Linked DNA regions of Diceros bicornis minor. The protein of the gene in region 2 binds, or shares a complex with, the protein of the main gene of each other region. Links are inferred from orthologs where the notes say so. Each region holds a gene or a part of one and is shown on either strand. Other genes may lie near its edges. The genes, in order: SMARCC1, SMARCD2 and SMARCE1.

Evidence for each region.
Region 1: SMARCD2 (region 2) and SMARCC1 share a complex: the UniProt entries of both Homo sapiens proteins name them as parts of the BAF complex. The link is inferred for Diceros bicornis minor from reciprocal best matches to the Homo sapiens genes SMARCD2 and SMARCC1.
Region 3: SMARCD2 (region 2) and SMARCE1 share a complex: the UniProt entries of both Homo sapiens proteins name them as parts of the BAF complex. The link is inferred for Diceros bicornis minor from reciprocal best matches to the Homo sapiens genes SMARCD2 and SMARCE1.

What each region holds. Positions count from the first base shown.
Region 1 is NC_080741.1:49,080,052-49,085,627, forward strand, and holds the start of SMARCC1 (SWI/SNF complex subunit SMARCC1), read right to left. Parts: upstream 3,723-5,576; 5' UTR 3,714-3,722; coding exon 3,516-3,713; intron 1-3,515. UniProt on the Homo sapiens protein: Involved in transcriptional activation and repression of select genes by chromatin remodeling (alteration of DNA-nucleosome topology).
Region 2 is NC_080757.1:46,662,703-46,668,278, reverse strand, and holds the start of SMARCD2 (SWI/SNF-related matrix-associated actin-dependent regulator of chromatin subfamily D member 2), read left to right. Parts: upstream 1-2,687; 5' UTR 2,688-2,995; coding exon 2,996-3,211; intron 3,212-5,576. UniProt on the Homo sapiens protein: Involved in transcriptional activation and repression of select genes by chromatin remodeling (alteration of DNA-nucleosome topology).
Region 3 is NC_080757.1:40,092,790-40,098,365, reverse strand, and holds the start of SMARCE1 (SWI/SNF-related matrix-associated actin-dependent regulator of chromatin subfamily E member 1), read left to right. Parts: upstream 1-1,907; 5' UTR 1,908-2,011; intron 2,012-4,011; 5' UTR 4,012-4,056; coding exon 4,057-4,063; intron 4,064-4,238; coding exon 4,239-4,282; intron 4,283-5,576. UniProt on the Homo sapiens protein: Involved in transcriptional activation and repression of select genes by chromatin remodeling (alteration of DNA-nucleosome topology).

The DNA.
Region 1 (5,576 bases), on a different chromosome or scaffold from region 2:
GCCAATCTTCCTCAGCAAAAAGAAGAGGACTGGCATTGGATGTTAGCTCAAGGCTGATCTTCCTCACAAAAAAGCAAAAAAAAATTAACTATTTAACTGTCTTTAACTGTTAAATAATTTATGTAAAGGACATTGAAGTGCCTCCCTTATGAAATCTAGTCTATTTTAGTGATCATTCTTAAATCTAAATCATCCTGAAATCTTAAATCTTATTTCAGGAATAAACCAAACTTCAATTTACCTGGAAGAAATTTACCTGGGAACCTAAATGGCTTACAGATATACTTCACCTCCAAGGTATCTGAGCTGAATCAATTTGAGATCAGTAAGGTTTTATCATCTAAAAACCACTCAGAAACTATGGACAGAAATATGGCTCTCATCTTTATCAGAGTTAGGGTGAAAGATATGTACGCAACAATACAAAGAAGGCAGCTTAGGTAGGATATGAACAAGCTTCTGCACTGCTTCCAGACTTAAAATGCAACCTCAGGCAAAGAGTTAACCTCCCTGTGCTTCAGCTTCCCCTCACCTACAGTGGTCACCTCCTCTGAACTCCTTTGGCCTAGCTGAAGCTCATCCCAGTCAAAAAGTATTCACTCTCCCTTCTGTGTTGCTAAGTCAAATTTATCAACAAAGCCTAAATGAACAGGTTCCTAGACTAATTAATCTGTTCACTCATTGAGCAAATATTTGCTGAGCACCTACTAAGAGCATTTAGAAAACAATACAAAGAAGTTCTCTTTTAATCTGAGATGACCTGGATTTTACAAGTAAGTGTCTATATCTATCTTTTCCACCACATTGTGACTTCCTTAAAGAGAGAGATTATGTGTAGCAATAAAAAAAAAAAATTGGGGTTTGGAGCTAGACAGACCTTCATCTAACCCCGTATCTACCACTCCTAACTGTAATCTTAGAGAAGTTACTTAAATCTGGAGCCTCAGGTTCCTCTCACGTGTAAAATGAAGTAAATAACATCTATTCAGGAAATAATATCAATACCAAATACCAAATTGATATCAAACAATATCAATATAATATTATTCAGGACTGTGGTGAGGATTTGAATTATGCTTTAAGTGCCCAGATATGGGAGATGTTCAGTTGCTCATGAAATGTATGGACAAACCCATCAAAAAAAATGCGACTGCCAACGTCATGTTTCTTTCATATGGTCGCTGAGATGTATGATTCTGAAAATGAAGTATTAGATGCAATAGAAAAGTTTAGTTAAAACCCATCAATCTCGGGCCGGCCCCGTGGCTTAGCGGTTAAGTGCGTGCGCTCCGATGCAGGTGGCCCGGGTTCGGATCCCGGGTGCACACAGACACACTGCTTCTCCAGCCACGCTGAGGCCGCGTCCCACATACAGCAACTAGAAGAATGTGCAACTATGACATACAACTATCTACTGGGGCTTTGGAGGAAAAATAAATAAATAAATAAAATTTAAAACCCATCAATCTGTACACCAAGTAGAGATATACTGTGTACAAAAGAAGCAAAGAAACTTCTGGTTAATACTTTCACCACTCCAACACCACTCTCAGAGGCTGACAGGATTCTAGCTGCCAGACTTAAGGGATATACAATTCTGAATTTGAGTAGGCCCAAGAAATATACTCTGGCTTTATGAAACCCTGAGAAGTCAAACCTAACTTTGTCTTTAAGGCCTTAGCGACACTAAGCCAAGATTAGCCTACTGGCTTCAACACTCTGGAACATATCCCTCAGTCAGCCTCACAGCCACTTCTTCACCCACCCAAACAAATCTCGGAAGGCTTATCCAAGCCTAAAGCTGACCTCTTAAAAAACTGGGCCCAAAGAGATGCACACGGAGTTTGGAGAGATAGAAATGACTATTATTTCCTTTTTCTTTTCCATTCCTTGATATCCAAAGGAATATTACTCCTGAGTATTTTTCTTTGTTAAAGCTATATTGATAAAGTAATACAATATTACATGTCAATTATATCTCAATAAAAGCAGGGGAAAAAAATCCAGACTGGGGGAATAAAAAAACTACATTAAAGTACATTGAATTTAAGACCCAAAGCATTGGCTGAAAGGCACTTGACAAAAAATAATTAATACTTTTAGAATATAAATATATTCAAGTCCCTTAGCCACTTCCAGAAGCTCTACTGCCTACACAAAAAAGTGACCAATATATCACTGTACAAGGAAGAGCAATATTCCTGTCTACTTACATGTAGAGGAGAAAAGTCTACAGTCCCAAATGTGACTCCAAAATTTCAGGGGGAAAAAAGTCAAAGCATCTAAAAATACATCGTAAGTAAAAATATATGTTGTCTCTCACTTCCTAAAACTTCAGGTAAGAATAGTCATTTCTTAAAGTGTAATGTCAAAGGAACCTAAGATTCCTGTCCTTGTCTACTTCCAAAAGTTGGCAGGCTTCACTGAACTGCAGACCCCAAATGAACAGGTTCCTAGAGTACATTACCTTTTCATTCATTCAACAAATATTTACAAAGCAACTACTAAGGGCGAGGCAATGAGTACCAACCATGTTCCAAGACACATTGTAGTGAACAGGCCTGACAAGGTCCCTGTCCCAGTGCCACCGTCTTCAATGGGGGAAGCACAGAACTGAAAAGGGTGTTCCAGAAATTTGGGGGCAGAGGGAAGTATTTTCGGCTGTCTGCTTCATTACACCTTCTAAGGGAGTCATTCCTAAATATTTACATGAAGAGGAAGTTAAGAAACATTTGTTATAAACAAGAGGTTAAGTCACAACTTTCAATACCACTGACTCAGCAGAACTTACATTCCAAAGGTAGGAGAAACAGATAAAGCAAAAATAATCTCAAAAAGTGGTACAAAGAAAATAAAGGTGATATGAAGTGGGGTGATCTACTATAAATGGGGTTCTCAGGGAAGGCCTGAGAAACACATCAGGTACAAGTGAACACTAACTCTTCTACTATCACCAATCATAACCAAAAGTACTATGAAGTAAAAACCGTCGCTTTATAATATTAGCTCTCATCAATACTATAATTCATTATATTAACTTGCTGTTATTAACTTCCAAGTACAATCGTTCACAGTCCTTTAGCAAATCAATAACAGGTAGTAAAATCTTAGCTTACCTGACTTCGAAGACTAGTCTCTAAACAAACTTGAAGCTGCTTTTACAGCTCCGGCTCAGACAGTTTTTAATAATCACTGTTCACACACCTAATGCAGCTAACAAAAGAGAAAGATTCCGAGCCTCCGGGTTGCTGAGGTCGACCTGTTCCTACATACTGGGGTGAGCAGGGGCTTTCGCCCGGGGTGCGTGGGCTCCAAGGAGACGAGCCGCGGGAGCTCCGGGGAGCCCCGGGCCGCGGGCGCCCAAAGCGGACGGCGGGGGCGTGGCGGGCCCCGCGCCGGCCTTTGTTGTCCCTCGTGGCGCGCGGGGGGAAGGGCGGCCGGAGGCCCGCGAGGCCAGTAGCCGCCCCCGGGCCCCGTCGCGTGGCCTCCCGGCTCCCACGGGCGCGCGAACCCACCTTCTTGTAGTGCTTGCCCAGCCAGACCCGCACCGCATCCAGCTGGGACACCGTCTCCGGGCTCTCCCAAAACTTGCTGGCCGGGCCCCCGTCCTTCCGCCGATAGACGGCCAGGCCTGCGGCCGCCGCCGCTGCGCCTCCCGCACCCGCAGCGCCTGCCGCCGCCCCCAGCCCGCCGCCGCCCACCGCCGCGGCCATTCTCGCCGTCCGCCGTCCCCACCACCCAGCCCACCCCGGCCCTCGCCGCGTTCCCCGTTCGCACCCGCGCGCGCGCGCAGCTGCCACCGCCGCTTCCCGGCCCCGCCCAGCCAACCCCCTTCCGGCGCGGAGGCCCGACCCCGCCCCCTCTCGGGACCGGCGCCCTAACCGACGAGGGCACGCGCACACGCATGCGCAGTGCTCGCGCCAGGCGGGCCTCGGGGGAGCGCCTCCACCCGCCTCTTCCGCCATCTGCGGCGGCTTGCTCGACCTCTCCGCTGCCGAGCCTCCGCCTCTGCGCGTCTGGCTGTTTCCGGGGTTCCTGCGTCGGATCGTTGGCGGTCAACAACTGCATGGAGGTTCCCTGTCATCGGCTGCCACTGCCGGAGAGAAAAGGGCTGGTGTGAGAAGTTCCAGAGAGAAAGCCCGTTTAGGGTGTCGAGTGGCGGCAGAGGAACCCGCGAGCGGGTGGGAATGTGCGCCTGCCCTCGCTTACCCATACCTTCTACACAAAGTGGCCGTGTCAGCCTTTGTAGTCACTCACCTGGGACTACCACTCGGAGCTTCTTCGGCCTCACAGCCTTTCTGCCCCTCATGGCTCTAGCCGCACCAGCTCATTCCTGCCTCGGAGCCATCGCGCCAGCTGTTCCCGCGACCTGGACAGCTCTTCCCCTCTAATTGTCACTTAGGCGCTTTCAAATTCATAGCTTAAAGGTACTTTAGAAAAGCAAACCCTGACCATACAATCTTGAACAGGTAGTCATACTCACTGGACATTCTCTATGTAGCACTTACCACGACCTAGTATTTTTCTTTTCTTACTTATCGTCCACATAAATTAAATGAGAACTTAGTCTTGACTTGTTCACAGACGTACCCTCAGTGCTGGGAACAGGGCCTGTTATCTAATACATGTTCAATAAATATTTGATGAATGAATGGATGACGTACACAGGCAGAAAGGTTATAAATTATTAACGAAATATGATTGCCAATTATGAAGTTATGAACATAATGCTATATGACCCCAGAACAGCACGTGACTAATTGCTTGTGAGAAAGCCTGGTGAGTTTTTGAGACCAACTTTTAAGAGTGAACAGAATGTGATCAGGGAGGAAAGGACATTTCACACACATGAAAACAAGTGGAACAAAGGGTAATGCGCAAGTGTGAAAGCATGCTTGGTGCAACTCTCCATAAGACCATGGGATGGAAGCAGAGATGTTACTTGGTTGTGGCAATGATTTTGACTTTATCCTGTAAGCATTGAGAAACCATCTTGAACAGAGAGAATGACATGATCAGATTTATAGATTACGAAGATAATTGCAGCAGTGTGAATGATAGGAGGAAGAAAGAATAGAGAAAAGATGAACTGGTAACAGTCTAGGACAGAAACAATGAGAATGTAAGTAAGATATGGATCTTGCCCTCTAAGAGCTCAGACTTCAGAAATAATGATAATAGCGGGTGTCATGGAACACTGTGCCATGCTCTGTGCTGAGTACACCTACATTACTGCAGATAAGAAAATTGAGGCAGAGAGAGGTCAAGTAACTGGCTAGCAAATATATATTAGAGTCAGGTTTTTGAACTCAGGAATTAGATCCTGGAGTACTATTCCCCTCTCTTCCCAAGGACAATGTTTTCTACTAATAGTGTGTGAGTAGAGCAAAGAAACCACACTGGAAGAGTTCAGAAAGCTATTTCATTTTCTGGAGCCATTAGATCCTCCAGGGTGGTGTTCCAACATTTTTGTTCAAAAAAATTCTAAAATAATTTGGAAAACGATATACTTTCTTCTTTTAGAAAAACATCTAAAATTTTTCATCAAAAATTAAATAGTTGAAGGGCCCGGCCCG
Region 2 (5,576 bases):
GTTATAACAATGATTAAGAAAAATACAATATGTACCCAAAATAATTGAAAACAAGTACTTAAACATATGTACATGCACGTTCATAGCAGCACTACTCACAATAACCAAAAGGTGGAAACAGTCCAAATGTCCATCAAGGGATAAATGGATAAATATAAATTGTGACATATACATACACTGGAATAAAAAGCCATAAAAAGAAATGAATTACTGATTCATGCTACAATGTGGATGAATCTAAAAAACATTATGCTAAGTGAAAAAAGCCATACATAAAAACCACATATTATGAGTCCATTTAAATGAAATAATCAGAATAGGTAAATCCATAAAGACAGAATGCAGATTGGTGGTTACCAGGGGCCAGGAGGAGGGGGGAATGGGAAGCAACTGCTTAATGGGTATGGGACTTTCTTTTGGAGTGATAAAAATGTTTTGGAATTAGAGGTGGTAGTTGCACAACACTGTGAATGTAGTAAATGCCACTGAATTGTTCACTTTAAAATGGTTAATTTTATGTTATGTGACTCTCACCTCAATAAAAAATAAAAAGAGAAAAAGACACTTTCTGCCTTCATAGAGTTTATCAGACAGTAAACCAGTGCATACATAAACAAATAATTACATATTGTGATAATCACTTGGTGGGAAGTAAACTAAGGGGAGACAGTGGAAAAGTTAAGGAAGAGCTGGGGGCAAAGAGGCTCTGAGGTGGGAAGGGGTTTAGCAGTTTGAGAAATTGTCAGGAGAACCTCTGGACTGACTCTCAGAGAACCAAAGGCAGTGATTTTTTTTTTTTTTTTTTTTTTTGCTGAGGAAGATTTGCCCTGAGCCACCATCTGTGCCAATCTGCCTCTATTTTGTAGGTGGGTTGCTGCCACAGGATGGCTGACAAGTAGTGTAGGTCAATGCCCAGAAGCCGGGCCTGCGAACCTGGGCTGCTGAAGCGGAGCTCACAGAAATTAACCCCTACATCATGGGGCCGGCCCAAGGCAGTGATTTAAAATGAGCCCAAGGAGGTAAGCCGGAGTCAGGCCCTGCAGAACCTTACATCTCATGAGAGGAAGTATGATGTTCAATCTAAGCAATGAGGAGCTGGGAAGCATTTTAAGCAACAGATTAATAGACAAATTACATTTAACTGTTTTATCCATTTTTAAATGCACCTATTAGCTTGCCTCTTTTCTAGAGTAAATCTACAGGGAGAATTGTATCAGAATTACCTGGGAGGCTTATTTTTAAAATACAACACTGGGAGCCATTGGACTGTGTGTGTGTGTAGGGATGTGGCTGGCAGGGAAATTTTGGAAGCCCCCAGGGGATTCGCCCATACTACTTCCTCTAGCACTACTGTTGCTCTAGGAGCTGGAAAAGGTCAAAATGGACATTAACTGCTTTATCATGAATTCTTTACCCACCTTACAGAGGTGGGGAGGGGCCCTAGTTCAATGACTATAACAATTCCAGTGGCCTGTTCTCAGACTGACAACCCATTTTTAGGGAGAAAGAGGAGAGGGATCTCTGAGAAGACGGAGAGGCAGGAAAGCAGCAGCAACAGGGTTTATCACTGGAGGAAAGATAGCAGGAAGTATAGATGAGCAGAACTAATTTCTAAAAACGGTTGGAGGACTGTACTATAAGCTGGATCTAGGGTGCTGAATGGTGCAAGAATGGTGCAAGAATGAAATGGAAATGAGAACATAGGCAGGGGATTTATATAGTGGAAAAGTCTCTATCTTGCCTACTCAAAAGTATTGTCTGAGTAGCGACAGCATTGCTGGGGAGCTTGTTAGAAATGCAAAATCTTGAGCCTTACCCCAGACCCCAGGCCTCTTGAATCATAATCTGCATTTTTAATAAGAGCCCCAGATGTTTGTTATGCTCATTAAATTTTAAGAAGCACTGGTTTATATCATGAGGAGAAAACTCCAGACCCCTGGCATAGCTAAAGCACTTTATTTTGAATACCTTCTGATACAGGACAGTGGTTTCTGAAAAGGTATTAAATTTTTGAAAATTAAGTGCTATAAATCCTGGAGAAAGACCTTATTTAATTGCAGGGAGGTTTCTCATCATGCAAAAATTCCTTCGCCTAGAAACATTTCCTGTGGAGTCAAATCCTAGGCTTCCTTAAAGTGAGGCACAGCCACTTTAAAAATATGCGATAAGAACTCGGCTCTTGGCCAAGTCAACCGTTCACACAGCTGGATCGGGTCTGGAGCAGCCCATATGCCTTGGCAGGTCAGAGCCACCAAGACGGGTTTTTAAAGCAAGTCAAGTCGGTGGCTGTTCTGCCCCCCGAGAGCAGCTCTGAGTTGAATCTTTAATGTTAAAAATGTAGAAAGCAGACTTGACAAAACTATTTTCAAGAAGCGTGGCCGGGTAACTTGCCGAGTTGCCTACGCCGAGTAGAGAGCAGCAACTACCTACCGTACGCACTGTCGAAGCCCTAAGCGACCTTCGACCTCTGGCCCCGCGCCTTGCTCGGCGTCTCCGTGCGCAGCTTCCGCCCCCGCCCCTCCCGCGAAGGGTTGGGCCGAAGGGTGTGGGCGGGGCTATGGGGCCGACGGTTAGGGACGGTGCCTGTTAGGGGCGGGTCTCGCGAGGGGCGGGATTTGAGGAGGCACCCTAGCATTGGGCTGCTGGGTATAGGCGGGGCCTAGCGCTGGGCTGGGTTGGGCGGGGCAGGGAGTTAGTTGCCGCCTCTGGGTAACTGGACTCAGGCGGCCAAACCTCCGGAGGCCGGGGGCGGCAAGCGGGCCCGTAGCAGATCCCGGATCCGGAATTTCCCGGGCAGGACCGGAATCAGGATCAACCCTGCCCCAAACCGGGTCTGTGAGGAACTCGTGAACTTGGATTAGGAAATCCCGGAACTCGGATCTACAAACCGCAGAACCCGGAATTTAGATCGGAAAGTCCCGGAGCACGGATCTCGGAGCGGACTCGGCGCGGAGCCCGGAGTCCGGATCGCGACACCGCCGGACGGGACGGAGCGATGTCGGGCCGTGGCGCGGGCGGGTTCCCGCTGCCCCCGCTGAGCCCTGGCGGCGGCGCGGTTGCCGCGGCCCTGGGAGCGCCGCCTCCGCCAGCGGGACCCGGCATGCTGCCCGGACCGGCTCTCAGGGGGCCAGGGCCGGCTGGAGGCGTAGGGGGCCCCGGAGCCGCCGCCTTCCGCCCCATGGGCCCCGCGGGCCCCGCGGCGCAGTACCAGGTGAGGAGGGCGGACGGGTGGGTGGCGCCGCGAGCACGCCGGGTGCAGGGGGTGGAGGGGCGTCGAGTGAGGGCCCTGGGGCAGCCTCTTGGAGAGAGGGCACAGGGGCCCTGCATGCGGAGCAGGACACGGTGGAGGGCAAGGCCAGGGATCCTCAGGCTCGGCTAGGTGGTGGTGGTGGAGGAGTTGGGAGAGAGAAGGTAAGAGCGACTCTGGGTGGAGTGTTTGAAGCAGTTGGGAGGGTCTGGGGGCTTCCGTGGAACAGGGATTCTGAGTAACTGAGAGATGGAGGAGTTGTGGGAGCTAGTGAGTTGTGGGTGGCTGGGTTGAAAGTCTAGTGTATAGATCCTAGGGTAGAGGGTCCTGGGAAGTGATGAGAAAGTTTTGGAAAAGGGCCCTCACTGAGGAACCAGGGTTACCCTGCATTGACCTTGGTCCCACTCCAAGTCTGCTCTGGTTTTTTTCTAGTTGGGAACTGGCAGAGTTCTAGCGTGTCTGAGATGGTTCCCAGCTGCTGATGAGGAAGAAGGGCCTGGCTTCCCACGGGCATGGGAGACTGAGGATAGGGCAAGGGGACTCCAGCTGGTGCAGGGGAGAGTCTACTCCTGGATCAGGCCCAGGAACCCTCACCCCAGATGACTCTGGGTTAGACCAGAGACAGTAGCGGCCATCCCTAAGGAAGGAGGAAAGCCCAGCCCATTCTGGGCAGACTCTCTTTTTGGCTTTCTGCCTAGTGTCATAGTGTCCAGGAGTTGATTAGTCTGGAGGAGCAGAGAGGCTCCACGGAGCCCTGCTGGTCTGGGGCTGGAGGAGCCTGCGGGAGTTGCTTCAAAGGGTTCTGTCCTGACCCCTTTGGGGTTTGGCTGCGAAGAGAGCTTCTCAGGTTGCAGCTTCAAAGATCATTGAGAGGTAGAGACTCTGTCCTTAGGGTCAGTGTGTGAGGAACTCAGCCTGACCCTGCTGGTGGGGCTCATCAGTCCCCCAGTCCATTGTTTCTGGTTGCCCCGGAATACTTGGGAATTGTACCCATTCTTTCTCCTGCCCGCTCTCCCCTTTTATTTAGCTTTGAGGTTCTGATATTGCCATATTGCAACTCATGTGCCCCAGCATTTGGCACTGACTTCTAGCAAGTTTGAAAGAAGGAAGCTGGGGCTTCCTCTCTTTCCTCCTCATGTCTCCAGGTAGAGGTCCCAGAAGTGGATTCCTAGAGTAGGGTATGCATGGGCCCCAGGACCCCTGGGCCCTCACTTTCTAAAGAGATGTTTAACTAGGAACAGTGATTTTTCCCTCTTACTTCTCATTCCCCCTCCTCCCTAGAAAGAAAACAAAAGGTCTAGGTATTGACAGAGACAGGCCTGTCCCAAGGACTCCAGCTGGGGTCCATTTTTCCCATCTTGCTCTTCCCCTTGGGGATTCATGGGCCCAAGGTGTCGCTGAGGGATCCCTGCATTGGTCATTCCAGTCTTTGGGCCAGCTAACTGAGACCTGGCCCGGGAGCCTCCCTGTGCGCCTTTGGCCTGGGAAGGATCTAGGGAACAGATAGGAGCCTCTCCAGTTTCCTCAGCTTGCAACCCGTGGGAAATGTGCCATAGGGAAAGCCGCTGAGAGACTGGATTCCATAGCCCTTTGTAGGGAGTGGCCTTGGGCCGGTGGCAAGGCTGAGCTGGCTGCCTGGGTAGCCCTGGGCTCCTAGGGGTGGGGAAAGTGGTGAAGGCAGTGAGCCTCTGCTTCCCTGGGCTTCCCATCCCACCAGCTTCTCATCGCCTTCTCCTCCTCCTCTTCTAGGGAGGGCAATAGAGGTAGATGGGGAAAGGGAGGACCCAGTTCACTTTGGTTGAGTTCGAGGAGGATCCTGCTTGGCTTCTTTCCAAGTCCAGTTGTGTGACTTCCAGGAGAAGGGACTTGAGATCTGAGGAGCAAAGGGGTTTCTGTCTATTAGGGCACATGAGATGAGCTGGGAGAGCAAGGATTTCAGGGCCCAAGTTGGGCAGATAGGGGAGCCTATTGAAAGAAGGGAAGTGATGACCCTTCTCCCTCTAGACAGTGGTTCCAGCTCTGGATCACAGTCAACTAAGGAGCTTAAAAAAAACAAAAACAAAACGACCCAGGTTGCTGGGTTCACTCCGGAGAGTTCAAAATATTTTCTTATGGAGGAGTATGTTCTCCTCTGGTAGACTCTGAGGGCCAGCCACCAGGAGCACCAGGGCCACAGCTTTGAGGGAGGGTAAGCATGCTCTCTGGAGGTGGCAGCATCAGGCCCAGCCTCCTGCCTTTGCTCTCCTGGGTGGTGGAGATAGAGTCCAGCTTAGGATGTGGGCTAGTGCTGGGCTAAGGGAGAGGAGGTTGTCACACACTTCTAGGGTTC
Region 3 (5,576 bases), about 6.6 Mb from region 2:
GAAACTAAACTCCCTGGGTCTAAGACTATCTCTGCAGTTCACAGCAAGGCCCCTGTGAGGGCTCCCAACAACCTTGAGAGTTACATATCATTTAAATAGTCATATTAAGGAGGCATCCCATATTTTCCAGGAATAAGCACTGTTCCAAAAGTCTGTCCTGTGGTTCCCATCAACATCCCTGTACATGCAAGATCATATGTTCTGACGTTTGCTTGGGGAAAAAACAAACTAATAACTCAGACATTTCACTCTGCAGTCTTAATTTCTTCAGGACTAGGGAAGAGGTTTTTTTCCGTATTATATTTTGCCTCTTTTCTTCCTTTCTTAATTTTGCAAATCTTTGGGAGTGAAGAACCAAAGGGAGGAAAATGAGATGGCCATTCATTTACTCATTCCACAAATATTGAGCACCTGAATGTACCACGCACTGTTTCAGAGGTCAAAAATCCCCACCCTCAAAGAGCTTTCATTCTGATGGAAAGAAAAAGACAACAAAACAAATACATAATAAATATACTACATTGGGTGGTAAGTGCTACAGAAAAAACAAAGCACAGACCACGAATCGAGTGGAGGTTGGAGAATGAGTTGCAATTTTAAATAGGTCAGCAACGACCTACCGAGGTGACATTTGAGTAAAGACCAGGAGGTGAGAAAGTGCATCAATGTCACTGCTTCACTCAGATCTCCTCCTTTCCTTTTTCACCATTTTTGTGCCACGCCTTTCTCACTACAGTGAGCTTTGTTCCTAACATCCAGCACCTGCGGCTTTTCTTCAAGAGGACTGCCTAGAGATGACACAAGGGAGCATCTGCCCCTGCACCTCACGTGCCCAATGCTCCACCATAACCTCAAAGGCAAGGAAGAAACCAGGCTGTAGGTGCTGGACAAGGCAGGAGAAAGAAGGTCCTGGGATCCCTGCTGAGGCCTTCGTGTATCTTACATTAATCCTTTCCGTCTCTGATGCTTTTATATTAAAAAAAGCACTTTCATGTACATTATCTCAAGCACCACTCAAGCTGCCTGTTATCCTTGGATGACCTCTCTTTTAGTCTTTCCCTTCACTATGCTCTTCAATTTCACTAATCTCTATTCATGAGTATACAACGAATGGGGTAGAGACTACTATCAAGTTATCAAAGAACCGTGCGAGTTCAGGGGAAGGATTGGGGGGCGAGCGGGGATGGAGTGAGTTTAAGCTGAAAGTGGGGGACAGTCGTTCCCGGGGAGGGAACCGAATGAGCCCAGGCCGCGCTGGGCGGAGACCAGTGTCGCCAGGGCCCACCACCCGGGCCAAGGGGATTGACACCTCTGGGCCTTGGCTCAGAAGCCTGTGGCAAGGACCCCACACTCGCGGTTGCAAAACCTGAAAAAGTGCGTGTCGCTTTTCGCCAAGGATAATGCCGGCCGGTTCCGGCAGGACGTCCTGCAAGGCGCTGGTGGAGGCGAAAAACCCGCCAGCCGGGTCCTCCACGACTCCATGCCCGGCTTTCTCAGGGCGAAAGAGGAAAGAAAGGGACCAGGGGGGAAACAAACAAAACCCGCGGGGCGGGCGCGGAGCGTGGCCGAGTGGCGCGGGCCGCGAGGCCGCAGTGGTTCCGGGGCCTCAGGTCGGGGCGACCCCGCCGTCTTCCGGGCCCGCGCGCGGCTCCCACGGCCCCTCGGCGCGTCCCCCGCCGGCGCTTCAGCCCCTCACGGCCGCCGCACCCGGGCCCATCCCGCGGTCGGGCCTCTCCGCCCTCGCCGCCGTGACGAATCGGCGCCGCCCGGGAAGGTACCGCATTCGGGAGGTTTGAGGAACGTATGGGGCCTGAAAAAAATCCTTGGCCGTAGGAAGCCTCACCGCGTCCTCAATAGAAAGTTTATTTTTCTAAAGAGAGTCGGGGGGACCCGGAGAGACATTCAGCCGAGTGTTGAAAGTGCGAGTGCGGAAGCTCCGCCGCGAGGGGCGGGGCCTGCGAGGGACAAAGGGAAGCGAGGCTGGAGCTGCGGGCGCGTTTTCTGCCCGCGGGTGAGTGTTTCCAACCGGGCTTGGCCGGGTCGGGGGGTGGGGGGGACGGGTGGCAAGTCGCGGTGTCCCGGCTCGGCTGGACCCCGAGCTCCCGGGGTTTGCTGGGGTTCAGGCTTGGCCGCGGGGCCAGAGCTGGGGGCCGCTTGCGGCCTCCTTGAGGCCTAGCGGAGCGAGGGTTGGGAGGGAGTCCCATCTGGGGCCCCTCCTTGGCGGCAAGATTTGCCCCTTCCACTAACGCCGCGGAACTGGTCAGAGCACCTGTGCATACCCCCCTTTGGTGGAGTTGCTGGTGAAGTGTAGCCTCCACGACAAACCTAATGGAAAGGATCTCAGAGGAAGCGCCTGGGACTAGCCAAGCCCGTGGTCCTCACCCCCAGGAAGGTGGTTTCCCCTTGGTTCAGGCAGAGACCCGAGGGCTCGCGGTGTGGCTTCGAGGGAAGAGCGAAAGCTCTGCAACCATTTGGCCTGGGTTTAAAACCCAGCTCTGGCACTTCCTGGCAGTGTGTCTTTAGACAAGTTACTTAAACTCGCCGAGACTCTCTTGTTTCATCCGTAAATAGGAGTGGCAGTACATATCTCCGTGGTAGTTGTGACTGTCAGACGAGGTAGTGTAGGTAATAAGCCTGTCCCGTGTAAGGGACTCAACAAATGCTTATCTAGTATTTTATGCCAGGCGCCGAGGATGGATCCACTGGTGGGTAAATGTACAAGCCCACCCTTAAGAATTTATAGTACAGCGAAGGAGAGCAATTATTTTAAAGCGTTAAACAATGAAGTGTGACGTATTAAGGATCTTGTGGCGGACATTGTCAGGGCTTCCCCACAGCAAGGCCAACGGGGTGTTGACAGCTCCCTGAATGTGCAGATTTCCACTAGAATCAATGGTTTCTGCCCGTTCCTTAAGGAAAGAGGGCCCAGGTTGGGCCACTGAGAAAATAAACTGTTTCTTTCCACAGCAGGCCTCTTATTCCTTATGCTCCAGGGAAGTCTCTTAAAATGCAACATAGAGGCAAAAAAATTCTGTTTGTTTCACATAATGTTGGATGAAAGTGCCAGTAGTCATAGAAGTTATTTGCCTTTTTTCTAAAAATGAATGTCTCTTTGTACGCACTGTGTGTGATGTATATTGATGTAAGCTCATGTGGGTACGGTCATGTTATGAACTGGTAAATACTAGGACAAAATTTATGAAGAATTGAGCTAGGTCCTGGGACTACAGTAATCAATTAAATTGTTGCTGTTCCCAGGCAGCGTACGATCTAGCCATATGAACAGGTATAATACGATATAGTAAACAATATCATAGACCTATGTAAATTGAGTAGGTGTACAGATGAGGAAGCAATTAATTTTGCCCAGGTAGTTTATCAAGAAAGCTCCATTGAGTAGATATATTTTGAAATGGACTATGAAGGCTTTGTAAGAGTTTTTCAGGTAGACTCTCAAAATTTATTCCCAGCAGTTACAAAGCTGTTTACCTCTATAAGAGAATGTAAAGGGCATTATCATACCAATTACCTTTTGCACTACCTCCAGGAATCAAATACTGCTCCATTTAATAGGAGTTGTTATTCTAAAAGGAAGGTAGAGCTGCTGCTGAGTGGGGGCTGTCGGTATCTGGTAGGCCTTGTTGGAGTGGGCCCTGATAATACGTCATTCTGTTGTCATTAAATTTTTATCAGTCTGGTTAAATGTTTACATGGCATCCATAAAATGTTTTCCGTACAAGAGGTGGCTCAGTATCATAAGAAAAACTTGAAAGTACGTGTCTAATATTACTTTTAATATCCCCAGTAATTTTAGTCATTTAATTCTGTTGAACCAAATGACCTAAAGAATTACTAAAATATGCAAATACTTGATTACTAGAAGACAATGTAAAGTAATTTTACTAAGAAATACCACTTATAAACTACCCTATTCTTTAGGAAAACATTCTCTTATGCTTGCTGAGTTTTGATTCTCATTTTTTTTCTTTTTTTTTCTTTTTTTTATTTTAGTGTCTCAGATTCATTCTTAAGGAACTGAGAACTTAATCTTCCAAAATGTCAAGTAAGTTTCATTTTTTATATTTATCAACCTATATTAATAAGAAACTAATGCCCTAGCAAATGGGAATTCCAAAATACTCTCATTTTTTTTCTTCAAAACAGGACCATTGGTAGTTTTGTTGCATAGTATTATATCTCAGTTGTTTACAAGAAGTTATTTATTTTCTTTCAAACAGAAAGACCATCTTATGCCCCACCTCCCACCCCAGCTCCTGCAACAGTAAGTTTTAATTTTCTTGTTAATGTAATAGCCAAGTCTGGCCTTGATACAAAAACCCAGATGTCTTCCAGTGACAGTCACTCAGTCATCACAGCAACAGGATGAAAAACTCAGCTAAAAAACAGCACTTCCTACTAAATAAAATAACTCTGCATCTTACCTTGACCAACCCCAACATTTAAAGAAACATACTGCTGAAATGCCAACCTCCTGCTCAGTTCTTTTTTTAATGGGAAATAAGGGAGAAGTTAACACTTCTTTCTTATTGATCTCCGTTAAGAGTCTTTCAGGTTGATATTGAATGAATACTCATTCTGGCATTTATTATTATTTTTAAACCTAACCTTCAACTGGTTACATTTTTCTCTCCTTGTCTATATATAATTTTCGTGTTAAACAATAAAGCTTCCAGTTCTAGAATAACACTCATTGTAAATCTTTATTTTCAAGCTGTTCAAGTAAGGATTTCATTATCTGTGGGTCAGATCCTGCTATTGAATTTTATTCCACTCCATAAATAATATTCTATTGGTTTGGGAATTGATATGTTTCAAAGCATCTAAATAATAGTTGTCAACTAGTTTTTTACCCAGCAAGCTCTGGCCCAGCTTGGTCAGCATGTAAAATACTTGTCCAATCCGTAAAACAGATTTAACGCTAACTGTTCAGGCCTTGCTGAAATGGATTCCTTGTTGTTTTTTATTTTAAAAAAACAACAACACTGTTAACATTGACCATACCCTACAAAAGCAGTTCTTTAACAGCTGTTAGCCCTCCTTCAAACCCCCCACTCCCTAAATTTCAGGCTAGTTTACTAATTAGGTCCTTGTGTAATTTTGTTTTCTCCACTAGATAACTACTCTTATTTACTAACCCTTAGATATATGTTTTAGTTATGTTTGTCAACAATTTGTTTTTCCTTAGTAAGATGCTTTTAAAAAGAGATACTGTATCACATGTTCCCAGTTCAATTTATGTAACTTATAGTCTCTAAAGTTACTTCCAGTAGATCTTAAAGTCCTGTGTTTGGTTTGTTTTCTTTCTTAAATCAAAGAACATTTCTTACGGCCATCTCCTTGGCACTCTGCTAGTGGCTATACAGGTGGAGTTGAACAATTGAGATTCCTGACCTCAGAGCTAATCATGTACTTCATTTTTGGAAATGGTATAATTGTCATGTTTTAGTTTCAATTTTTTTTTTTAGTTCCCTTACCTAATTTTCTTACATTGTTGCCTCATAATGTTGAACAGTGATTCTCATTGTTTATGCAACCTTTGAAGAAGTCATTTTGAT